Regions from separate parts of the Mus musculus genome. Here regions 1, 2, 3, 5 and 6 are each reported to be linked to region 4. Evidence: microRNA targets listed by miRTarBase, many of them from high-throughput screens and not tested one by one. Region 4 holds a microRNA gene; each other region holds the end of a gene's coding sequence.

Region 1 (4,071 bases), not on the chromosome of region 4:
GTTGTGCGCTTTACAAGTGAGATAGCCAGTCGAGCCCACGCAGCTTCAGATGGAAGCCCTGCTGACCCGTTTCCTGTCTCTCCTCTTTGGGTCCAGGTGGAAGTGAAGCCGTACGTGCTGGATGATCAGATGTGTGACGAGTGTCAGGGCACACGCTGCGGGGGGAAGTTTGCCCCATTCTTCTGTGCCAACGTCACCTGTCTGCAGTACTACTGTGAATACTGCTGGGCCAGCATCCACTCCCGAGCCGGCCGTGAGTTCCACAAACCGCTGGTGAAGGAGGGAGGCGACCGCCCCCGGCACGTCCCGTTCCGCTGGAGCTGAGCCCCAGGCCGCCACAGCTACAAGTACTGGAGTAGATCACAAGGAGGAAGAGAGGGCACTGCCTCAGGGCTCACGGTGTTCTGGAAATCTGTGCATTCGTTCTCGATTTTTAAAGAAGAAATGGGTCTTTTTATTATTATTATTATCATTTACAGTCATATTACTGAACTCAACGTCCAGTATAATGCAGAATCACAGAGTGTGTAACGGTACCCATTTGCACCTTTGACTCACACCTTGTCTGCTTGGTACCTTGATTTCTTATACCTGACCTGTCTGTCACCTCCACAGTTCCGTAGACTGCCATTCTCATCCGCAGCCGTCAGGTTGACGTCTGTGACTCTGTGTTTGATGTCGTGTTGTCGTTGCTCTGATTGGTCTTGACTGGAGCACGCTTATTTTCAGAGACTTAGAGAGTCACCCCTAGGACAAGACTTACCAAAGGCCACACATGTACGTAGAGGCCGACGTAGCAAACACTTTACAATCAGCACTCAATAGTGGGGTCACGTAGAGTAAGGTTAGCCCTTAATGAAAATAAGCCTGTAGTTGCTCTGTACTTTGACGTGTATGGATACCTCACAAGCTGGGTCTTTCATTTTCCTTCATGTTTGATTTTTTGTTTTGCTGAGGATTTGGGTTAGATCTTTTAGTGTTATGTAAATTTATGCTGCAATAGCTTTTGCTGCTATTAAAATGGTATTGTTGATACCATAATACTCTATTCAGGATAAGGTATCAATTAAAAACAAAAAACAAGAACCCAACAACACACTTTTGTGGTTTAGGGATAGAGCCAGCTGCCGGAGGGAGATCATATGAGACCAGAGAGAGCCATCGGAGGCCGCCGTTCCTGACTGCATGTTTACTTAATGCGGTTGCTGCATGCAATAAATTTTATATCCAATGTCTAGTATAAAACCTTCCCACAGTGCACAAATTAAGAATCTATATAAGCTATAAAATACTCATTTTTTTAAAAAGAATTTCTTTTTCACTCAAAGACTTGGTAATCTGTGGGAGGAAGGCATGCCTCAGTGGGTGGACTGCCCGTGGACAGCGAGAGCCTGTAACAGGGCGACCAGTATTACAACCAATAGACAACCTAGTGTAGGATGCTCTTCCAGTAACCCTGGGGGGGGGGGGGGGATGAAGTACTGCGGTGCTCTGTTACATATTGTGCAATTTATTTTATATAGTAAAGTGATTATGTCTAACTGTGATCAAACGTAACTGTTTGAAGCCGTGTCAGCCGTGGATGAGCGTGACCATTCATAACTGGTGTATTAACACACGAGCTCCGAGTTAGGACCTCTCCTGGTGCTTGCACCACTTCACCCAGCTTCAGACCTTGTCCAGACAGCCAAAGAGCTCAGCTTACAAACACTAAGAACACACACAGTGTCTAGAATAAGTCGGCAGACTGACACGGAGGCACATAGCTAAGGAGGCCACGTAAGGGTGATGCTAAAGAAATGTCTGCACCAAGCGAGCCAGCCTGGGCAGAGGGGCCTTCTGTGAGACGGTCACTGCTTAGTTCCCTGGATGCATCCTGTATAGCTTGACTAGAGTGAAGCCCTGCTCGTGCTAGCGCGGACCTTTTAGTGTTCACTCCTGGGCTGCAGAGAGTAACGGAGACACGTGGTGATTGCAAGACTCTGTAACGCTTGCTTTTTAAACCCTTCTTCCTTTGTTTTGCATTCTGGGGACAATCTGACTGGATGTGGCACTGCAGAGTAGACAGAAGTCAATGTGTCTTTTGTGCTGTGATGTCCTTGTTCTGTCTTGAAGTTACTGTTGTGTGGTTTTGTTATAGTTGGTTCTTTTTTTTCTCTTTTTCTCTCCAGTGTTTAATTGTGAATACTGGCTCTCCAGCTACAGTTTGTTTTCAAAAAAAAAAAAATGGAGAAACAGAATAGTTTTTTACTGAATTAAAAGATGCCTATTAGACCCCTCCCCCTTTCGGGTTTCCCCTGGACCCTTTGGTAATACTGCTTTCCTGCAGCCCAGATGTGCTTTGCTTTGCTTTGGTTCCTTTTTCTATGTTTGTGTTTTACTTTGTTTTCATCTGTATGGGAAATTTTGTTACGCACTACTACTTTTTATATTCTAGAACGTTTTCAAAAGTTGGCTGATGATTTTCGCTTGTTTGTTTCTAAGGAAAAAGGCATGCTTTCTGACTGACATGATCTTTTGCAATACCTCAATTTTGAAATATAGGAAAGAAAATGATATTTTCTAAGTAAGTTTATTCAGAAAATATATATTAATTTAATTCTGCAAGAAAATGATTTAACAGATGGGTAACTTTATTTTTTTCATGCTTATTTGTGTTTTTTGAAAATGAAGAAGTTAGAGCTTTATAACTATAATATTAAAGATCATATCTAACCTACAGAAATCTACCTAATTATGTGAAACATGCAAATGTTTGGAAGAAGCACCCCTCTTTCATGTACTAAAATAACCCTGAGCTCTAGAGGAGCCAGAAGACTGCGCAGTGTAAGCTAGCGCGAAGGCCACAGTGTCGCAGAGACCAGGTTGTCAGAGACTCCACTTGGTGCTGAGGGCTGTGACTGAGGAAACTGCTTTCCCTTAATTTGTATATTTATAATCAAGTGTTGATCGTGTGACTGGCCAGGACTGTGAAAGAGCTCTTCTGTTTGTATTTTTTTAAAGAGAACTTTTTTAGTTTATTAAATTATAACATGTTCCCTTTTGTTTTGTAAATAAATGTGCCCCCCCCCCAAGTTCTTAATGTTATATTAAAAGAGAGGGTCCTTCAAAAAAATTATTTTTTAAAAAAAACACAGAGGTGTTCTGCCCTGCAACTTGACTGGGAAGCCCCTGGGTAACACAGGTCCTGCTGTGGCCTTTCCTTGATGGGACACTTGAACTAGTGGATTTTTTGAAGGCTGTAACTAACCTCGACTCTTTGTTGTTATGTGCAATACTGTTTGTACTGTTTGTATAAAAAATAGAAAAAAAAGACAAGAAAAAAGGCCTAAACCTTTATTGCAGACTTATTTTCATTGCAGACTTTAGACATTGTGACTCACAGAACTCATTTTCTACTGTCAAATATGTACCTTTCCCTCATGCTGGTATTTTTTCAATAGTAACGTAGCCTTTGTACTGAGACAAATTTTCATTGTTATTTTTAGAAAGATTTTTTGCTAAGAAAAAAAATTAAACATATTTACATATTTTTCATTTTATTTCGTATTTTCTTTAAGGAGTGCTTTCTCAATCATTACTAGAGTTGTTTCTGGGAGGGACTTTCATATCTGGTCAACGTCATAATATTATTTTGTATTTTTACTTGGAATAAATTAATTTTATGATGCTAATTCTTTAAAGGTTTATTTTTTTCATTTCAGTTATTTTTGAAGCTAAAAACCTTTGTAATATTGTTACTAAAGTGTCTAGTTTTTTGAAATGCAAAGCTTTATGTATTAACTTGCCGATGTGGTTTACAATATGACAAGGGTGGAAACGGTTGGTTCTGTAACGTGACTGGGACTGTAACGGACAATTGGATAATAAAACGACAGAATGAGCAGAACGTGCGAGATCTCAACAAGCCTTTTCCTTTATTACAGTGTTCAGTGTAAGACTAGGGATGTCACAGTACAGGTCTCTAAGGATGTCACAGTGGGTTTATACAACACCAGATGCAGCCAAGCAGCCAAATCCGTGGCCAGATAACGAAGTCACCCCTCCTGAAATAGCATTGGGTGTGAAGCC
Region 2 (4,089 bases), not on the chromosome of region 4:
GAAAGGCTGTGGCGGCTGCTATTCCCCTGGTTGCAGCTCTTGATGATGTACCTGGATGCTCTTTGTTGGTTTGCTGGGTTGCTGGGTTGTTGGTTGCTGGTTGGAGATATCTTGCCGACTGAGACTGGACTTGTCCCCAAGGAACTCTAAGCCCCTAATCGGGAGGAAGTGGTCTAAAGAGATCAAACCCCCTTTCCCGTCTAACCTTCTTTCTCTCCTACCTGGTGTTGGGAGGTTGGAAGGGGTAGGGATGGCATAAGGTGGTAGAGGGAAAAGAATCCAGTAAAAGTTAAAAGTACAGGTACATACAGCCATGGCCTAGGTGCTTAACCCAACCCCATGCCTTTTGCTAATGGCTCCTACCCGTTTATGCGCCTGCTGCTTCTGCTTCTTGTTGCTTTGTGATTGCTTACATTCACAGATGCACACACACACTGCACACACGTATTCTTTATGGCCAGCCTTCACCTCGGCAACAACTTTTAGGCAATGGTCAAATTCTTTCGGAGATAGATATTACTGCTGCTTGCATACCAGAATCTGATTGTGTCTGTCTGTCTATCTATTATCTATCTATCCTATCCTATCCTATCTATCTATCTATCTATCTATCTATCTATCTATCTATCTATCTATCTATCATCTTAAGGAAGTAATTCAAGAGAAGGACTTGTGAGTCTTGGGCTACAAAGGATTCATTCAGAAACATGGCACCAACATCCCCATACTTGGGAGACAGATTGCTTTCCCTCTGGTACAATTTAGCCAGTGTCAAGAGACAAGAAAGCCGAATTTGGAGAACTTGGAGTTTTAGGATCTTTGAGCTTTTGAAGCTGACTGCTGGCATCTAAGAGTATTTCAGCTCCTTCTAAACCAGTAGGATCTGTGCCCTGCCCCCCCCCCCCCAATCTCCAAGGTGCTTCTCTAGAGGTACTAAGACCCATGCAGGGGTTTCAGGCTTCCAGGAAGAATTTACAGTAGAACTGTGTGCAGGTTCTGACTGCACTGCTGTGCCTACGTGCAAAGTCGCATGAGTGGAGCTGTGTATTGGCACGGGAGGTGCTGGATGCATTTCACTGCTTGTCTCCTATGCTTGTCTGAGCGAGGTTCGACTCTTTCCCCATGCAGTTACAAAGAACTCAGCCCCTCCGTAAGATCTCATGAAAGCCCTTGCTTCCATGGAAGCTCTGGTAACCTTACATCTAGCTGTTATAGATAGCGCCTTGCAGAGTCTTTCTCAGACTTGCATTTGAAGAACTTCCTCATGGGCCTACCAGTAGAGACCTTTTATATTTAATTGTGTGAGGATTTGCAAACCTCCCACTGCAACCATTCCAACAGAATGGAGATGTCATGGTCTCCATTCCTTAAGACTAAGTGAGCCATGGTATTGTTCAAGAAAGAGCCAAGGGGCACATGCCCCATCTACATGTTGGGAATCTCTGCTGAAAATAGCTAAGCACAAATGGCAGTCATTCACCATTTGGTTTCAACAGGTGGCTCCAAGGGTGCAACACCTTTGGGGCTGGTAGCTTTCAAAATGCTATTAAAATACATGTGAGGATTTTACACAAAAGTCGAGGCATTTTTTTTTATAGCTAAACAATTTTATTTGCTTTCTGTGAAATTAAAAAAACAAACAAACACAAAACGAACCATCGTGGTTAAAGGCGGATCAGTGTCAACCAAATGAACCAGCCACTTGGTTCCAGCAGCTGTGAAGAACACGAGAGGATATTATTGCTTTCGTCCCATGTTCATGTATGTGTCTGTTGTGTTTTGGCAAGAGTACAAGCGGATGGAGCTTTGGTTGTTGAAGTTCAACTAGGCCTACTCACTGAAAACAGAACCTCTAGGTGGCTATATGTTCCTTCTCCTCAAGTCTTGACGTGTACTCTTTCCTTCCACCCACCTTCTCTTTCCGTCAGCCATTTGCCCTATTAACAAAGTTAAGGGGGAAGGCTTGATAAGCTGTCCCCCTCCCCGCCCCCCTTCCCCTGCGGCTCCCTCTCTGCCACAAGAGGGTGATGCCTTCCTGGGTCTTTCTAAGCTCTTGTATCTGGTATGTGGCCATGCCAGAAACAAAACGCCTGCCTGTGGTCTACACAGCTTTTCAAATCCATATGGCATTTGGACTCAACTGACTCTTTCCTGTCTTCAGAAACTCCCTCCCCCAAACAAAAACAAACAAACAAACAAACAAACAAAAATCAATAGCCCTTAGCATCAGTAAGGTGACCTCTCAACAGAATGGGCCCCGGTGTCCAGCACACGACATCCCGTGGCAGGTGTGGAGCTGTGACTCTCTGATGATTGTGTGTGTGTGTGTGTGTGTGTGCACACACGTGTATATTATACTGTAACATTTTATCTGCAGAGAGGCAATGACGTTGATGCCGCTTGAGAGCTCCCCTGCTTTGCAAGTTCTGTTCTAACACTGATCTTCCCAAGGGACCCGGGGTCAGAATTACCACATAATAGCACCATTCCCCACACTCTTAGGATTTGGCTCCTTTCCCTGCTTGGAGAAGGCAGGACCTGGCCCCTAGCTTTGTGCTTTCACAGGCTCTGTGGTGAGACCGAGTGGAGAAGCAGGTGGTCTGCCTTGGCCTACTTTAGTGGTGACCTGAATTTTCCCTGGGAAGAGTTAAAAAAACAAAAAGAACAACAACAACAACAACAACAACAACAACAACAACTTGTCTTACAAAGTGAAGTTGGCCTCAGGTGTGAGGCCGAGGTGATTGACCTGAAGACAGTGGGATGAGCCTTTTCCCTTTCCCTTATCTCTGTTCAGGCCCTAGGACGGTTTGCTGGTGAAGGCACAGCAAAACCACAGAGCACTTTTAAGTCACCAACCCTGACATAGTTATCCAATGGTAGGACTCGAATGGCGTTGTAGGGACCCGGGTCCGGCAGTCAGTCATGCCCCTGATAGGATTGGGGTGGAATAAGCCCTTGTAATGATTGTAAGGATTGTCCTCTTTGAATCTAGACCTCTTAAACAGTAGGATATTTGCCCTCACTGTAGCTATATGGCACGGATAACCATGTAATTACTAGCACTTAAAAAGGAGATCCTGTAAATACATAATTATACCAACGTGGCTCATCAGAGCAAAGATTAAGCGCTTCTAGCTTGAATACTTCAGGCCTCTTCAGCTCAACCCTTTACCTCCCAACGAAAGGATAACTCTGTAATTATGAGTGATGCTCAGTGGTCACGTGGGCTGAAAGAGTCACGGGGGGGGGGGCAGCTTCGTGGTCAATGTGTGGCCTATAAAATAAAGTAATACACAGTATTGTCACCTCAGTGAAATACAAGAGTCCATAGAAAAATATTCTCCAATCTGGAATCTGAGACACGAAAGCTGGATTTTGTTTTTTTTTCTTTGTATCAAAAGGAACAAAGTAACGGACTGAAGTGTAGTAGCTTCCTAACCAAGAAAGAAAAAAACCAAAAGGACATTCTGGTTGAAGGACTTCAGAGTCAGTCAGCTTTCCTTTTATGTCCCTGCTCATTGGTGGCAGGGCTTGTGCTTTGATCCTGGTGGAGGTAAATGCACACGAGTGGAAAAGCCAGGGCCCCAGACCCAACTGTGCGGATGGCTAAGGAGACTGGTTTTTATAGTAGAGCTGTCAACAGTGGAGGTGGCCCTTAGCGGGTGACGGTCCCCTCTCTCCTCCTCAGGCGACAGCTGGGGACGAATGCCAGAAACACCACTTTCTCCTTGAATGGTGCTTGTTCAGCGCCAGGTCCTCTTTCTCTCGTTCCCTCTTCACACGCTGGTAGTGGTCTTCCTCCTTCAGGTACCACACAGGGGGCCAGCGGTGCCGCTCAAAGTACTCCTGGTTGTCTGCGGGGAGAGGGGGAAGAGACTGCCCGTGATTCCTGCTGCCCGAAGACTGTCCTGGATGCTCAGTCCTGCTTTTTGCCATTCGTAAACCTCCCAGCATGCTGGCATGGCTGCCCACAGATGCTGAGACTAAAGTCTAATGTGTAGACTCTATGCTAGGCACACAGACCCAAAACCACTTGATTTTTATTCAGAGTTAGACCCTGGCTGTGTACCCCTAAATGAGGGGAGG
Region 3 (4,089 bases), not on the chromosome of region 4:
CAATGTCACGGGGGCACCCAAATGCCACCAAGACAGTGATTTTTTTTTTTTTTAAAAATAAAACAAACCCAATCTTTCTCTCATTTGGGAGGGAAGTAGGTAAGGAGAGAGCAAGCTCGGGAGCTCCCAGAATCTGCTTAGGATCCACTCCAGGGCTTGGAGAGGCGATGAACAAACCCATGCCATCTGACACCCTTCAGCTCTGGGGCCCCCAGCGCTCCACCAAGTCCCGGACGGACTGAGTGCATCCGCAATGAAACCGGTCACTGTTACTGAGGACACAGACACACCCAGAACCAAAAACAAAGGCAAGGCTAGAATGAAGTGAGACTGCCAACATGGTTTCCTCTCCCCATTCAAACTGTGGAGTGGGCAAAGGTGCTGTTCTGCTGTTACTCAGAGGGAAAGGGGGCCACAGGGACACATGGATAAAGGAAGTCAGAAAACAAAAACAAAACAAAAAAACCCAAAAACATGGAAGCGAAGGCACTCCAAACTATATAGATACACTATACATTGCTAGAGTTATTGTTACAATAATACAGGCCGGTACCTACTGTACAGAGTTAAAACTATATGGCTTTAAAAAGCTCGTCTACATTTTTGTCTGGTTATTGAACAGAATCACTGCCCTGAACAGTAACTTTTTGCTCATTAATAACAGTTCCTGGGTCCACATATTTACATACAAAACAATAAAACTTAAATTTAAAAACATTGAAAGAAAATATAATATACAAGCTTGAATTTGGTGAGGAGCTTTTAATTATTATTTACAAAAAGATATTCAGAGACCTGGATCTCACTTGGATAAGAGTTCTGGGATCCTGCCATGATCCTTGAGAAAGAAAAATCGTGCACCTAAGCCCTCATATATGCATGCATGCCCACATACATACACACACACATACACACACACACACACGCGCGCGCGCACACACACAGGCACACACTCACACACACACGGACGCACACATGTGCGCACACACGCACACGCGCACACACACACACACACACACACACACACACACACGCGCGCGCGCGCGCACACACACACACACAGAGAAAAGCACCTGACTTTCCTCCACTCTTCTCTTACCCCGTATCTGGGGGTGGGGAGTATTCACTAACAAGCACTGACTTTTATGGACTCTAGCACGCACACCAAGTCTGGAGTACTGTCTGTGTCGGGCTGGGCAGTTTAATCTGAAAGCAGGTTCCCTTCTCAGGCCACAGACCTGCTTGCTCAGATTCTTTACAAATTCTTTCTGAAAATGGTCTTCCAAGTCACCCCCTTCAAGGAACTATGCGGTCAAATAACTTAATTTCAGAAGTCTTTCGCACGGCAATTATCTGAGAAGCGCTTTACCAAAAGCGCCTTTGTTTGCTTTGGGCTTGCTTCCTTTCTTGTCAAGTCTGATCTAAACGGAGGTCTGAGAAACCCCTTCGGTGGCCTGAAGAGATCAGCCAGCCGCACAGCCTCACTGATGTCTTTCTAGCATCAACTCATTTCGGCAGACAATACAACTCTCTTGGAGAGTTACACACACGGTCGGAGAAGCAAGGCAGGGTGCTAGGGCCTGTATAAGGGCCGCCAAGAGACTCCTCTTCCTAACCACCTGGAGGGCAAGACCTCAACGTGACTTAAGGTCAGGTAATGAGGGTAAAGGAGTCTGTGTCTCATACATAACCAAGGGCCCTACAGCCCTAGTCATCAGCTCACCTTAGCAGATGTGTGGGGAGGGAGTGGGAAGGAAGGAAGGAGCGGTGGCCATTACTCAAGTGATCTTTAAATGTAAAAGATAACTGATTGTGCCTTAAAGATTCATAGGTCAAGTAATGGCCCATAAGCACCAAGGTTCATTTTAGAGTATATAAGGCCCACAAAGACACCAACCTTAAAAGTATCAACAAACTAGTTATGAGTTCTGTTCCTCACACAAACGTAATCCTTCAATCCACCTTGCTTTCCAAGGAATATTGCTTTTTCTTCAAAAAACAAGAGACTGATTCTTACACCATTCATTGATAAACAAAGAAAACAAAAATAAAACTCTTAATGGTGATGGTGGGGGAACATTCTTTTCATGATTCAGTCAGTCAATTTTGATACTGTAGACAAAAAGAAAAGGCAGTATTGAATATATGTATATATAAAACATATATACACATTAATATAATCAGTTTTCCTATAAAGTCAGCAGATACAAGTGACTTTATTATTTTGATGTGTGGTTTTTAATATTACTACCACTTAAAATCATAGTGGCCGATCTGACATGCATCAATAAATAAATTTAAAAAGCATGATGTTAAAAAAGCAGAAATTAAATACAGAGTCTAGATTTGGATTTAAAATTAGAGCTATGCATAAGAATGTGGCAATTCTTGCAAGCTTGGTTTTCAATTAAAGTAAGGAAAACAAAGCAGTAGGCTGGCTAACAGTTCACATTACTTAGCTATGATGTCTTCTCTCAAGTGTTTTTCTAAGGGAAACGACTTTATTAAAATCTGGACAAGCTCACTCACAGTGGTGAGATCTGCCCCTGGCCTGCCACCTTCCTGTTCTTCGCTTTCCGATGCACCCAGAGCTGCCCCCTTAACACCATCTCCAGCCTCATCCTAGGGTACCAGCTCAAAACAATACCGGGAGAAGCAGGCGGCCTTTGGTCAGGTGAACCAAGATCTACCTCAGGGCCCAACAGACTCTGTCGCGCTCTCTCCTTTGGCAGCAGCCTTCCTAAGCTGGCATCTGCAACACCTGCACTGGTCAAGAGCAAAACAAACCTTAAGTAATCCATCTCTGATCTTCCCTTAGAGCTTCAGATTTTAGTGACCTCCCTGGGCTACCAATAATACACCTTGGTTTTTCTTTGTCTTTTTTTTTTTTGTCTGTCATACCTGACATCACACGCCAAAGGCAAGTCTTCAAATCCTAAGGATAAGTACACATTGTACAAGTGACAGTAAGTCCCTGGTGAGTTACACCTGCTAAGCTCCCAACCAATTTCAAGCTGTGCACTGTATCAAAGTCTTACGCCAGGCTTTAAAAGAAAACAAATCCAGAAAATAAACCAGCACAGAACAGGTTTTCTTCTGTTGCGGTGGGGGCGTGAGGCAGGAGTCTGGTTTTTAAGGTATACAATAGCGGACTTCTGACTTTAAAAAGAAAAGAAAAGATTGTCGTGGGAGAGATTGTGTTTAATGCTCTGCTCCTCCCCGCCCAACCCTCCCCACCTCTTGGATCTCCTGAAAAGTGAGAATACAATGAAACTGGTTTGTATTTATATAGATATTTTACAAGGTTAAATAAGAACAACAATAAAAAAAATTGAACACTAAAATGAACAGGGTTTTTTTGTTTTTGTTTTTGTTTTCCTCTTTTTAATTTTCTTTCCAAACGTGACCAGTGTTGCTGAGTGGCACTCAAGTAAGTGCTGGTCTTTCCCGCGCAGCTGGCTCCTGGGGGCTGTTCAGGTGGAGTTGGAAGCTGATGCAGAAGCGGCGTTATTGGTCTGTCCACGGTCTCCAGCATTAGTATCTGCAAATCCAAAGGCCCAAGAAAGCGTGAGCAACGTTATAACACTGCAAAGAGCACAAGTACACCACTCACCGCACAGTGCTGAGGCCTACCAGAGCTGTCATTGCCTATGTGGGTTCAAACACACAGCACCAGGACTTCCTTTCTGCTAGGAGCTCAGTGATGGCACAAGTGTGCGTGCACATGCGTGTGTGGTGTATGTGCGTGTGGCAGTACACTTAATGCATCACAGACTCAGGAATTTGAGGTCACTTCTGTCAAGGCTTTGCTATAGCTAGTACTGACCGGCAGTACTCAGGTTGGAGTCTAGCTTACTGAAAATAAATGACACTAGCTAAAGATCCTGAGCCGTGTTCCAACAGGCCATCTGCTAAGGGCCTGGACAAGTGAAGACACAGCAGATGCCAAGAACACATAGGAACCTTACCACTTAAGGGTAAGCTGTTCAGTTTATCAACTTCACGACCACTTTCTAAAAACTGCACTTCCTCTCTGAACTCTGCATTTTCCTGTTCCTCAAATAATCTGCCCTTCCATTCCTTTAGCCC
Region 4 (4,089 bases):
GATGTGATAGAAACTAGATTTTTATGTACAGATTTGCCTTGGGAAATTGGATTATAGGATGATTCATTCAATAAACTCTCAAGTCTCAAAATAAGAAAATAAATAAACAAAAGCACTTGCCATCTGGCCAGACATCTGCTCACATACCATCAGCAAGGGGCTGATGCCCACATCGTGTTCCTGAACCTGACACCGGGTACAGAGAGCCCTTCAAGGAGGGATTTTGTGCTCAAAAAGAGGTCAGCGTTTAATATCTTCCACGAACAAACACCATGATGTGGACACTGTCCCTTGGGGCCTCTTGGAACAGCTGCGGCAATCCTGCCCAGGCTTCTCCTGTGAAAAAGACAGCTGGTGAGGTATTGTGCCCAGAGAATATTCTACCCTCAAAGATGGAAGGCTCCCTCTGGGCCTATACGTACCTGGGATGTAGGGGTGAATAGCAGCCCTTAGAAGCCTGCCAATAAAGCACAAAGCTAAATGTGAAATGGAACTGAACAAGTCCGGTTACCTTGGGATGACCACCAGAGGCATTTCTGTCCAGGTGTCCTTTGCATTCCTTGGATGAATCCAAGACAAACTCCCCTCCAGAAGTTTGTGGGCCTAGGGGCCTTGGGCTGGGTGGCAGGTGTCACAGATATAATGTATGGCGTGCTCACTGCTCCACCAGCACCGAGGCCAGTACCCACTAGATGGAAAGGGATTTTCAACCTAAGAAAATGGGTTGACCATGCTTGTTCCATGCCCCTTAGCCTTTCTCCATGGGTATAAAGGGAGAGTTGCTGCTTTTCCAAAGGTGTTTCCATCTTTTATAGGCAGAAGCCAAAACACAGGTACAGCCACAGCCCAAGGGCATCACTGAGCCAGTAGAAACTAAGAGCTAAGTGTGTGGCTAATCCTGGTACCTCTTAGATGGAGTTTGCACTGGGTTTTGATGCGCTATGGTTGTTGAGCCACGTAAGTATAAACAAAGCTTTTATTCCAACTTGAGCAAAGAAAGAAATAGCTAGTATCCTAGCAAAGGGTTGCCTAAGAGTGATCCCATATCTTGTACTGGCTCAGCTTCGGAAACCCTCCAGGGGAGATGGATGGATGAGGTGTTCTCATACTCTCTGGATTGTATCCTCCCTCCCACTCTCACAAGAGAGCCACCAAAGGGCCCTGCTCAAACAACCACACTCAAAGGCAATTTTGATGCCATGAGGAGGCTACCAGAGAATGTTAGCCATAAAGAGAAGTTCACTAGGGAAAAGGGGTCTGAAGTGCCGCCTTACATCTACCACTCCAGAGGGCAGGGGTACCAGTATCAGAGATAAGAGACAGGCAGCAGTGGCTGATGACAGCTTGCTGTTCCCTGGTCCCAATCGTAGCCAGCACCCACCAGTCCTCAAGGCCTTGCTAATGGCATCAAAGAGCACAGCCCGTAGACATGGCAGGATGCTGGTAAAGAGCTGATCTGGGGCCCAGGCTTTTCTAGAGTCATAGTGTTATGTGACACTCACCAACTGACATATCTTGGTAAAGACACCTGCAGCTGACATCTAGACACATGTCTCCAGAAGGAATTGGTGGTTTGGCTTGTATTGGCTGTTTGATTAAATTGCTATTGTTTGGATTTTATAATTTTCTGGGCTTCTCTTATCTGAACTCCATCCTACAACAGAGCCTAAAAGTGCGCTTCCTGGTTTCCCTTACTGACTGTGCCTGTCCCAGGAGGTGGGCATTCTGGACCTAACAATGCACAGAGCCAAGAGGGGCAGGTGAAATTGTGCTTCTTTGAGGTAAATGCCCCTGTGCACATGGTGACCCAAACCCCCTGGCCTCCCGTCCTCCCTCTGGTCCATGGGGAGCTCTCCAAGGTGAGATTTGATATCGAAAAAGAAGTGCACCATGTTTGTTTCGTCACAAATAAAAGCGAAAAATAACATGGGCAACTTCTTTTCAGGTACCACGGCTGAGCTCTTGCTTGTTCCAGCAGTGTGCCTGAGTGTGAAGGGATGCTGAGGGACAGGCGGAAGGAAGGGATGGTGGGTGAGGCAGATACTTGGCCGGGAGGGGGACAGGGATGGGGGTCCTGAGGCAAGGGGAGTGGCTCAGTACTCATCACTGCCATAGCAATCCAGCCCAAACCCCCTCTACCTCAGGATCTCAGGAAGACCTGGGACGAAGACTGAAGATTCTGAGATGTTGCCTACCATCCTTGCCAGTCATTCTGAAGTGTCACTCGGGGGAAATGGGATGGTGCCAAACTCCAAGACAGAATCTCCTCTCTCAGTTCCAGGATCCTCTTCTGAAGCTGAGAAAAAAAAAAAAAGTCAAAGAACTAGGTGGCAAAATCCAGGGCAGCCTAAACCAGCTGTGTGAGTGCCTGGATGATGCCCTCTGAGGTCCCCCCTCTCCCGCACCCAGAAGTGACTTACGATGTAGACAAATACAACAAAGAGCTCACAGGGTACTGGGAAGCAGAAGAACAGGTTGAAATGGGAGGCTCCAGGATTCTGAGCGTGTGAGATGTCTGGGGATGCAATGTCCGTTCATCATCTTGCGGCTGTCCTGAACGGGACATATGACCGACCCTTCCCTGAAAACAAAACGCATTGATTAGTGTGTGTTACCGTTACTGGAAGGTTACAACACTACAGCAATATATCTGAACCACAAAGGAAAGTGACTTGGTACCAACTACCTACCTTAGACTGGACAATGGGAATAATGAGCAAGAGAACATACCATCCAAAGAATGCCAGTTACACTCATTGACAGGCCACTCAACAAGGAGCCATCCATTCCTCTCATAGTAAGGAAAGGCCCACCTCAAGCTGACTTACACACAAAGGAGGCATCCAGGCTAATATAACTTAAAGGTACAGTGACGTGTTGAGCTTCAAGGAGTGTCGGATGCAGGTCCCAGATTGTACTGTTACTCAAATGTCCCATGGTTCCTCTGGGACAGGCACTTCCCCCTCTGTCTAAACAGCCCTGGGTACTGTCCTCTTGAATTCTAGCTGGCCTTCAAACTCAGGGAACAGTGAGATCCACTCAGACATCTCTCACAGAAATGAAGACTCATTCCCCTCCCAGAAGTCTCAGCAAACATCTCCCTGTGGGCTAAGGTCTCATCTAGGAATCAATAATGTCTGGTCAACTGGTTCCTTTGACACTGTGTTGTGGAGGAGGGAGGAGGGAGCAGGAGCCAACCAACCCAAACCCATTCTCATTAAGAAAGGTCAGAGGACCATTCAAGAAGGGAGATAAACTCACACAACCCAGGCTCACTACATAGACTACTTTCCTAGACTAACATGGCTTCCCTGAAGTCAGTAAGTAGTTGAACCCCCGAAGTCTTCAACGTAGAATAGGATGCTGAAAAAGAAGTGCACCGCGAATGTTTCGTCACATATAAAGCGAAAAACACGCGGGCAACTTCTCATTAAGCACCGTACGTCAGCAGCATGGAACCCTGTGTACCACTTGTGTACCGCTGTCGTCACTTCCTGTGGCTTGAGTACCGCTGTCGTCACTTCCTGTGCGTGAGCAGGCGATCACGCTGCAGCCCCGCTGTACCTAGGGGGCTCTCACAGCTGTGCCCGCTCCACGCAGGCAGAATCAGGATCTTGTAGACAGGCTTTGGATTGGTCATCCTTTGGGGAGGTCTTTGGAGTCTCCTCAAACATCAGAGAATGATATAATAATCCTGACTTTGCTTCCCAAAGTCCAGCTCTGGATCCGTGACAAGAGAGGAGGTGGGTCCCGTGACCTCTCAGTCGAGGTCACCACCCATCTGCTAGAGGGGAGGACATCAACCTATGTTCCACGGTGGAGGCCCTGATGCAAGGAGGTTATCATGAAATGGGAAACAAAAAGATATCTGAGCCTTTGTCAGAACGAGACAATGTCTCCTGGACAAAAATATATGTAAGTGGCATGTGGTGTTCTGAGAACAGATTCTGTTGACCCTCCACTTGCTGGGAAATGGAACATTGAGATTAAAAAAAAAAAAGAACATGAATAAAGATAGACTTCTTAGGTGTTCCAGGTAGATAGTTGGTTGCCTATGCTTGTACACATGTTCTCTCCCTCATGACATGG
Region 5 (4,089 bases), not on the chromosome of region 4:
TTGTTTAACAAGTAATAGCCTGTGAGTTCATGTGCTTGGGTTCAGGAAGCAAGAAGATAGAGTTAAATTAAAAGGTGGAAAAATGGTGAAAAGAAGGTACACCCAATGCTTATCACAGCATCACACAACAGACAAACATTCCGACTCCACGTGCTGCTCGTGGGCCATTTAAGCACAGCATGAGCTAAGGGCTGACATGTGTATGGGTTTGGATTGTGGCTGTCTCCTTTCCCATGGATAAGGATATAGATTGCACAAGGATACCTTTTTGGTCTTTATTTCTTCAGAGCATGAAAACAAACAACTGAAAATGAAGTAGGTGACAGTGAGGAGAGGGGACATTCCACAGTACAGAACATGCTGTGCCACTGGTGATGAAATCACAAACAGTTAGAAACTTTATTGATTTTTGTTTTTGTTTTCTGTGTCAATAATGTGTACCAATTGTCAGGAACAGCACCGAGTGTGCCTGTCCCCCTAAAGCCGTGCACAATACACACAAAATAAAAATAATCAAACAAATCAAATGAAATCATTTACACATAATAATTAAGAACCCTGAAGATCCAGATCAGATTTTCCCTACAGCATGAAGACTGAAAAGGCAAACACACCAAAAAGCTTGAACTTGAAACTGACCAACAGCAAGACGTTCTTGGGAAGTTCTCTGTGAAATTCACTACAGAATTATTGACATTCCGAAGATGGCTTAAAAACAAAACAAAAAAACAGAACTAAACAAAAACCAGTGCAAAATCTTTCTAAGGTTTTTAACCACATATATCCTTTGACTAGATTTACTGGGTATGTCTAGGCTAGCTTTCCACTTTTAAAATCTAAAATTAAGATTAAAAAAAAAATCAAAACAGGATGGCTTAGAGGGCTCCCCTGAGGAGTCCCCACTGTCACCACTGTTGGTGGCCTGTGGAGTGTTGTGATGGAAAGGTACCATTGCCACAGAGACTAAACACCGGCTAATTAGCTCTTCTCAGTGATATTGGTCACCACCATAGTGTCCTGCTTGGCCTAAATTAGGAAGATAAAAATACCTGCGAGTTGGCCAAGGCTATAAAGAGTACTTTTCCAGAGCTAAAAATTACATTCTTTTAGGAAAAACAAAACATGAGCATTTGGTCAACTGCCTTTGTTGTGCAATTTTAATGTGCCTAGGTTAAAAGTCATAATTCCTTTTCTCTTCCAAGATCAAAACTGTCTCAGTGTCAACTCTCACTCTCTGAGGAGGAATCCCACTCACTACATTCCCCTTGGGAGCAGGAATTTGGGCTGTCTTGGTCACTGTTCTGCTCCCAGGTTGTAGTATTACCTGGCCTACTGAACGGGCAACAAGTTTCTATTCACTCAGTCACTACATGTTGGTTAAACAATGAATGGTTATGATCACTGAGTGGAAGGAGGGAAAGGAGTTCTCAGCTACATTTATCTCTTAAGTATCTGGAGTCAACGCAGAGGGCCAGAAAGGCTCAGAGAAGTGTCTGAGAGATGGGCCAAGCCGTCCCATTTCCCATCAGTAGAATCACAGCTTTTGGAATGTTGGGTTTATCTCTGCTCTTTGGTATTTTGAATGGAAAGAGTCATTCCTTGCAATGGTTACTCCCAGTCTCTTTGAGTAACGTCCTCTTAGTCATACCCAGTGGACCTCTAAAGTCCCACTGGTCACTCAGACTTCCACTCAGGAGTTGCTATCTGAACTGAAAGGTGAACAAAACAGGGCTCAAAACAGCCTTCTCCATTAATAAAATCAACTAGCACTATCTATCATCTGTGCCAGACAGAGCAGATGTGCAATAAATATGTTGGGGGAGGGGTGGTGTGGAAATGGTGGCTGTAAAAATCCAGGCACATCCAAAGTATCCACTGGTCTCCCAGCCTTTCTTCTCAGTCTACCTGAATTAATGGGTGATTCTTAGAGACCTCTGATGTGCTCTACATGGCTATTATTTCATAGACATCTTTGTAGTTTGCCTGCTATCCTCTCAACTTTAATATCTTTTCACACGACAATTATTGCTTCTTAGTAATGAGCGTGCAAGATTCATGAACAATAAGCCATTTTCTTCTTTTATCCCTATTAATATCCAAACTCAATCACAACTCAAAAGGAACAACTCAGGTGAAAAGAAAACTCACTTATGTCTTCAATGTCCAATCAACATCGCTGAATGGGAGGACAGTATTTGCTATACTCTACTATATACAGATACGCTTTGTTTTATTTGTTTTTCGTCCATGCACTGTGTAATGGGGATCACGACAACAGTCCCTAACAGGCACATGAAGGAGGGGCAAATGTTCAGTCATGACTGGAACAGGATTGTGCAAGCCATGGATGCCACTGAAAATAAAACGGATGGAAAATCCCAGGCAAGAGCAACATGGGACCTGGACACACGTGATGACTGAAATGGTAGGGCTTTGGGGGTGGGGTTAATTTTCCTCCTTGCAGGGGCTGGGTGGAGGGCAGGAGGAGGTCTGGGATGGAAAACCCGGGGAACAGGCTGGGCTGGAAGGAGTAAGGGTCTTGCTAATCACAGTTCAGAGCTAGAAATAAGGGATGAAGGGTTCTATGAGTTCCTGGGAATCTAGGCACATTATCCCTGTACCTGTTGAACAAGAGTGCCAGACACCGTATCCTTAAACTATGTCTAGAACCATTGCTTTTCCTGGCTCCTTTTCAGCTCCCATGCTTCTCTCTGGAGGCAGTTCACCACTGTTCACATTCCGGAGATAAGCATACAATTTGGTAATGTAGTGAAGATGTGGTTTTTTTCTTCTTCCACGCCCAGCTCCTTCCTTAATCCAAGTAATGTTTAAAGTGTTCGGAGGAGGTGAGGAGCGAATCTTAATGATTCTAATATTCATCCAAAATCCACTCCCCTTTGGGTGGATCACTACTTTCTATAAGGAGAAGATCTTGGCCCTCCAAACAAAACAAAGCAAAACCAAAACCAAAACCGAAAGCCAAACATCAGCCACCCACATCCCTCCCTCTCCCCCCACCACTGGAAACAAAACAAAACAAAACAAAACAAAATAAAACAAGAAAACAAATAGAAGCCTTAACCATTTAAGAACTCGGAGAGAGTATAGCTCTTCTAGGACGAGCTGCAAGATGACCCTGCCTCCATGCCTTGTTCAACTTGATGATGCCCGGGAATGGGAGATGATGGTTTCTGACTTCCGGCCTAGTACGGATGTTCTTGAAGCTGGATTCCATCAGCAGTTTAAGTGAACATGACAAATGTCAGTTTCCTCTGTTCATTATACATAATTTTTATGTATATATATATGTATACATATATATATATAAATTTACTATATCTGATTGTTCCTTTAGAAGCCCTTTATGTGGCAGTAGGCTTCCAGGGAGGAGAAGAAAATGTACAAGAGCCACAGGAGCACAAACAGGGAAGATGTGAGGAGCTTGGCAGTCCGGGGCCCTCCCAGCTCACCTCCTATTTCTGGCCTCCGCCGATACAGCAGCACCCCCACGTTGATGAAAGCAAAAATAGTGAAGAGAGTGACAGAGAAAGCTAGCGTGCCGGGGGACACTTTGAACTGTTCCCCGTTGGCCGCATGGTAGATGGCAGCAATGGACCAGGCCACGCCGATTCCCAGGAAGACATTCACAGCATTGCTTCCAGTGACATTGCCTATAGACGCATCTGCATACTGGTCCTGGGTAGCTGCTACTTTGCTGGCAAATGTGTCTGCAGAGAGAAGAAACAGACCATGACACTGAGTTAACCTTTCAAAATAGAGTCATGAGGTACAAGGAGCTTCTATTGTGTACACTAGACTCAAGCCCACAGTAGACTTCTCTGTCTCTTTTGAGTCAGTCTTATGGTCAAAGGAACAGAACACAGATCTCAGGAGCTCAGGGCTTAGTGCTGCCTGCATCACTGACGGAGAAAGTCATGTAAGCTAAGTTTTTTTTATCCACAGATACTATAGCTTTTTGTCTACTGGGCTTGCATGGCAGGTTTTCCTTTTCAAGACTATTTACAGCCCAAGTTATAGCTATATCCAGTGGGGACTTTCAAAAGACTGACTATTACAAGACTCTATCCA
Region 6 (4,089 bases), not on the chromosome of region 4:
AGAAAGGAAGAAAAGGAAGGAAGGAAGGAAGGAAAAAAGGAAGGAAGGAAGGAAGGAAGGAAGGAAGGAAGGAAGGAAGGAGGGAGAGTGAGCATGTTTGTCAACTTTGTGCTGCAGAAAAGCAGCTAATAGGCTGCGGGGGAGATGTATGTGTCAGCTTCGTGGGTTACTGTAGCTGTAGCACAAGCTGGGTGACTTCCAGCAGCACAGCATTCTCACTCTAGAGGCTGCAGGCTCTTGGCGGTGGTGTGTGTGTGTGCGTGTGCATTCTGTCTTCCAAGCTTCTGGCACTGCCAAGGATCTGTGACTTCCCTTGGCACATTGGCTGCTTCACTGTTCTCTGTCGCCATCATCACGTGGCTTTCTCCCTGCGTGTCGGTGTCCAGATTTCCCTCTTATTCAGTCCCACTGGACCAGTGCCACCCACATGACCTCATCTTAACTTGATCCTTCCACAAAGACCCAGTTTCTAAATCAGGCCAGTGTTGTCAGGTAAGCCAGGCACGAGGATATTAGAGATTCTTTGTGGGAGACAGTTCAACCCACTACAGTCATTTAAAAGGACAGGATGGCATGGACTCAGCTACACCATTAACATGCTGTACATAAAGATGGCATGCAAGGACTACTTCAGGCAGAGGTGGGGTGTAGCTTGGTGGTAGGAGGGTTGCCCAATGTGTGAAGCCTGGGCTTGGCTCCTTCACTGAAAAAACAACAACAACAAAAACCAACACAAGAGGGGCTGGCATGTGCCGAAGACTGCTCACCTGGCATATGCAGAGCAAGCTCTGGGTCCAGTCCCCAGCACCACGTGAACTGGGTGCTGTGGCACGCACCTCTTATCCCAGCACTTAGGTGTTAAGAGAGGAGGATCAGGAGTTTGGTTATCTTGGGCTATATGAGTTTGAGGTCAACCCGGGCTACCCAAAAGCCTGTCTCAATCAATAGACGAGAAAAAGTGTCCTCCCGGTGAGACTCGTGGAGCTGGCGGAGGTCTGAGGCCAGGAAGGCATCACTCCCTTACCCTGCTCTGCTGGCTGCAGTACCTCTAGAAACTCTTGTCATATACTATTTTAGGAGCAGCTCTTGGGGTGATTGCTAATCAAAACTGTCAAGTACAGAAAGCCCCTGAGTGAGGGCCACAGCACCAGAGACAGCAGGGAGGGAGAGGAGCGGCTCTCATGAAGTAGCCACTGGTCCTGTGTGGCCAGCTGTCGGTTGACAGGCAGAGCCCAGGGCTGGGCCTAGAAGATACCATGCTAACGTCACAGGTGGCAGTGTAGCCTGGCAGTGTCAGAGGAATCAGAAAACTCACAGCAAACCACCTAGGAGCTAGACGTGTGTGCATGTTCCTGAGTGTTTATTCCAGGACTCATGTTCACTCGCATGCTATTCCAGAGCAGATGTACTGGGCATGAGAGGCTCTGCCTCTGGCTGGATGACTATGTGGACTGACTCCCCTGGGGTAGGGGGAGAGAGTCTTGGCATACAGGATGAGATGGGGGTGACAGTTGGCTGGGCTTGGTGCTTTCTTACTGGAAAGGATCAGGTGAATTTGTGACAGTGGCAAGTAGGGACAAATGTGGAGTATTGTCTTCCCTGTGAAACTACATCAGAAAAGTGATGTGGGGCAAGCGGGGGTGGGGTGGGGGGTTGTCTTTCAGATGCCCATGCCCAGAGGCAGACATCAAATGAGTAAACTAGGTAAGCATACTGCAGGGTTGTATTCTGTAGGTTTGAGCATCAACCTAAGCCACTGCTGTTTCCAAGGAGGGTGGGGTAGGTATGCATGTGTTCAGTTATTTGCCCAACTAGGAAATAAATTGATACTTTAGCATATACACAGATTAAAAAGAAATCCACCCCCACCAGCTTCTATGATGATTCTTGTTGACCGGGCCTTGTTCTGCAGCCTGGGCTGGCCTTGGATTGAATGCAGGTTGCGGGCAGCCCTGAAACTGGGAAGGTCTCCGTCTTTACCTGCTGCACTGGCAGGAGTGTGCTGCTGCCCCCAGCTCACGTGATGGGTCTCTTTTTAAAACAGATTTATTTTGGGCTGGAGAGACCACTCAGCAGTTAAGAGCACCGACCGCTCTTTCAGAGGTCCTGAGTTCGAGTCCCAGCAACCACATGGTGGCTCACAACCATCTGTAATGGTATCCGATGTCCTCTTCTGGTGTGTCTGAAGAGAGCAACAGTACTCATATACATAAAAACTTTAGCAAACTGGTAGACAGGATTTATTTTAATTTTCAATCTGAAAAACAAAACGAAACAAAACCCCAAAACAAACCCCCAAACTCTGCTCATATATACACACACAGATATATAGTGTCAACATTTTCAGAGCACTGACACTGGGGGCTGTGGGGGTTGTGGGGTGTGGGAGGGGAAAGAGTTTCCCTTCAACTGCATGACAATACTGTTTTATGTGTCACAATAAAAGTTACAAGCGTCTTGTCAGCGGTCACACAAACATCATGAGTTTACATTTCAACACACAATAAAAAAAAAGACGTCTTCCGTTACTTCTTCCCTGCGACCACAGCCTGTTTTCATAAACGTTTAGAAGACCCTACAGTGGCTGTTTGGAAGGCATAGCCTTTCCAGATCCAAACTAAAATCTCCAGAGATTTTCCACTTGAGAGAACAATCAAGGTTTTATTCGTAGGTATGGTGACGTCTACTCACCAAAGGATGTAGGTTGAAACCTGCATGAGAGTAAAAATAAATAAAGCGCTGTTGCCAAGCCGGCCTCGCTAACACGGCAGCCAGAACAGGACGGATGCAGAGCGCTTAGAGGCATCACATCACATTTTCAGTTGCCTGTACTCAAATTAAAACTTTTCAACCAATTAAGTGAAAAGGAAGAGACTGGGTAAAAGGTCTGAAGATGCTCACACTTGGGCTGGGTGTCTCTTCAGCAGCACTTTGGGGCGTGCGGCAGCGGCGGTGACATATTGCGTTTGGACATAAGGCACCGTGATCTGGACGTGCCGTTCACTCACTTTCTGTCACCTGTTCCATCCCAGTGACTTCTTTGAAATGAAAAGTAGTACTATTTCAGGACACAGTGCACTTTAATGACATACAGCATTGAAAATCCTTCAGACAGGTCTGAGGGCAGTCTTTGAACGCAAGCCTGAATCTTCAAGCACATAAAATCTTTTCCTATACTTACAAATCACTGGAAAAATACCCATCGCTAAACCCTGGTATACATTCTTAGCCATTTTACTCTCTTCTATTGCAGCCAGTGTTCATGAGGCAAACCGTGACCCCGAGACTTTGTTCAAGTTCTCCTGCGCGGGCGTCTACATTCACGGCGGTCATTCAGTCTCTGTCTCCTTCTGTTTGGCACCTGCCAGGGAGATGGAAAGTGGGAGTCTCAGAGCTTGTGCTCGAGGCCGAGGCCAGGATCCCTGCACCCAGCCTGGCAGTGGCTTCCAGACAGAGAGAGGTAGGAGGAGTTAAGTGGTCACAGAGCCCCACCCCTCCCACCATCACCTCGGCTCCCTTATCACACCTTCCCATTCTAAGTGTCGATTCCACTGCTAAAAAAGTAAAAATAAGCAGGCAGGGTTCTTCCAGCTGCCACACTCAGAAGATTATTACTTTTTTAAAAAAACAAAGCATTACAACACATCTAAAGACAACCGTGTGCAGCCGCTGGGTTTCCATAGGAGACGCAGGCAAAGCCACTGCACTACCCACGGCACCTCTCCAGCTCTCACCTGAATGAACCTTTTTAAAAACAATTTCATGTGTATGGGTGCTTTGCCTACATGAATCGCTATACCATGTATGCGTAATGCCCACGGGGGCCAGGAATCAAACCTGAGTCCTCTGGAAGAGCAGGCAAGTGCTCTTGACCTCTGAGTCATCTCTCCAGCTCCTGGCCTCTCTACCTTCTGAGGGCATACTGTGTCAGGCTACACTTAACTTGGAAAGAGATTAATAACGTACTAGAGCAGAGGGCTGTCCTACAACTTTCTCTATCAACCAGGCTGGTCTTGAACTCACAGAGATCTGCCTGCCCCTGCCTCCCGAGTGCTGGGGATAACGGTGTGAGTGGAGGCTGGACTTATC

The links. The annotated mature microRNA mmu-miR-495-3p reads AAACAAACAUGGUGCACUUCUU and lies in region 4 at 1,879-1,900, opposite strand. An mRNA with a match to its seed (bases 2 to 7 or 8) in the 3' UTR can be bound and repressed. Matches are read on the target gene's strand: a 7mer-m8 pairs with bases 2 to 8, a 7mer-A1 pairs with bases 2 to 7 and ends in A, and an 8mer does both.
Region 1: the mRNA of Cpeb3 is a reported target of mmu-miR-495-3p. Seed matches in the 3' UTR shown: 7mer-A1 at 2,131-2,137, 7mer-m8 at 2,205-2,211, 7mer-A1 at 2,406-2,412 and 7mer-m8 at 2,472-2,478.
Region 2: miRTarBase lists Rhobtb1 as a target of mmu-miR-495-3p. Seed matches in the 3' UTR shown: 7mer-m8 at 2,199-2,205, 7mer-m8 at 2,195-2,201, 7mer-m8 at 2,191-2,197, 7mer-m8 at 2,187-2,193, 7mer-m8 at 2,183-2,189, 7mer-A1 at 1,942-1,948 and 2 more.
Region 3: miRTarBase lists Gsk3b as a target of mmu-miR-495-3p. Seed matches in the 3' UTR shown: 7mer-m8 at 2,781-2,787, 7mer-m8 at 1,910-1,916, 7mer-m8 at 171-177 and 7mer-m8 at 62-68.
Region 5: the mRNA of Slc8a1 is a reported target of mmu-miR-495-3p. Seed matches in the 3' UTR shown: 7mer-m8 at 296-302.
Region 6: the mRNA of Prkag2 is a reported target of mmu-miR-495-3p. Seed matches in the 3' UTR shown: 7mer-m8 at 2,287-2,293.

Annotation. Positions count from the first base shown.
Region 1 is chr19:37,021,113-37,025,183 of GRCm38, reverse strand. Cpeb3 (cytoplasmic polyadenylation element binding protein 3) reads left to right here. Exons shown (of 11, transcript NM_001290827.1): 11 at 97-3,893. The coding sequence ends at 324. Among named protein-coding and RNA genes, the nearest start is that of Btaf1, 97 kb to the right of the region's middle.
Region 2 is chr10:69,289,288-69,293,376 of GRCm38, reverse strand. It overlaps Rhobtb1 (Rho-related BTB domain containing 1), which reads right to left. Exons shown (of 11, transcript NM_001252637.1): 11 at 1,586-3,857. The coding sequence ends at 3,688. Among named protein-coding and RNA genes, the nearest start is that of Gm40685, 21 kb to the left of the region's middle.
Region 3 is chr16:38,239,954-38,244,042 of GRCm38, reverse strand. It overlaps Gsk3b (glycogen synthase kinase 3 beta), which reads right to left. Exons shown (of 11, transcript NM_019827.7): 11 at 1-3,541. The coding sequence ends at 3,474. Among named protein-coding and RNA genes, the nearest start is that of Nr1i2, 53 kb to the left of the region's middle.
Region 4 is chr12:109,716,606-109,720,694 of GRCm38, reverse strand. It overlaps Mir495 (microRNA 495), which reads right to left and starts at 1,941; the gene lies at 1,879-1,941. It overlaps Mir666 (microRNA 666), which reads right to left and starts at 3,610; the gene lies at 3,512-3,610. It overlaps Mir543 (microRNA 543), which reads right to left and starts at 3,437; the gene lies at 3,362-3,437. Mir667 (microRNA 667) reads right to left here and starts at 689; the gene lies at 598-689.
Region 5 is chr17:81,385,340-81,389,428 of GRCm38, forward strand. It overlaps Slc8a1 (solute carrier family 8 (sodium/calcium exchanger), member 1), which reads right to left. Exons shown (of 11, transcript NM_011406.3): 11 at 1-3,728. The coding sequence ends at 3,352. Among named protein-coding and RNA genes, the nearest start is that of Gm33944, 100 kb to the left of the region's middle.
Region 6 is chr5:24,860,527-24,864,615 of GRCm38, forward strand. It overlaps Prkag2 (protein kinase, AMP-activated, gamma 2 non-catalytic subunit), which reads right to left. Exons shown (of 16, transcript NM_145401.2): 16 at 2,209-3,361. The coding sequence ends at 3,330. Among named protein-coding and RNA genes, the nearest start is that of Rheb, 20 kb to the left of the region's middle.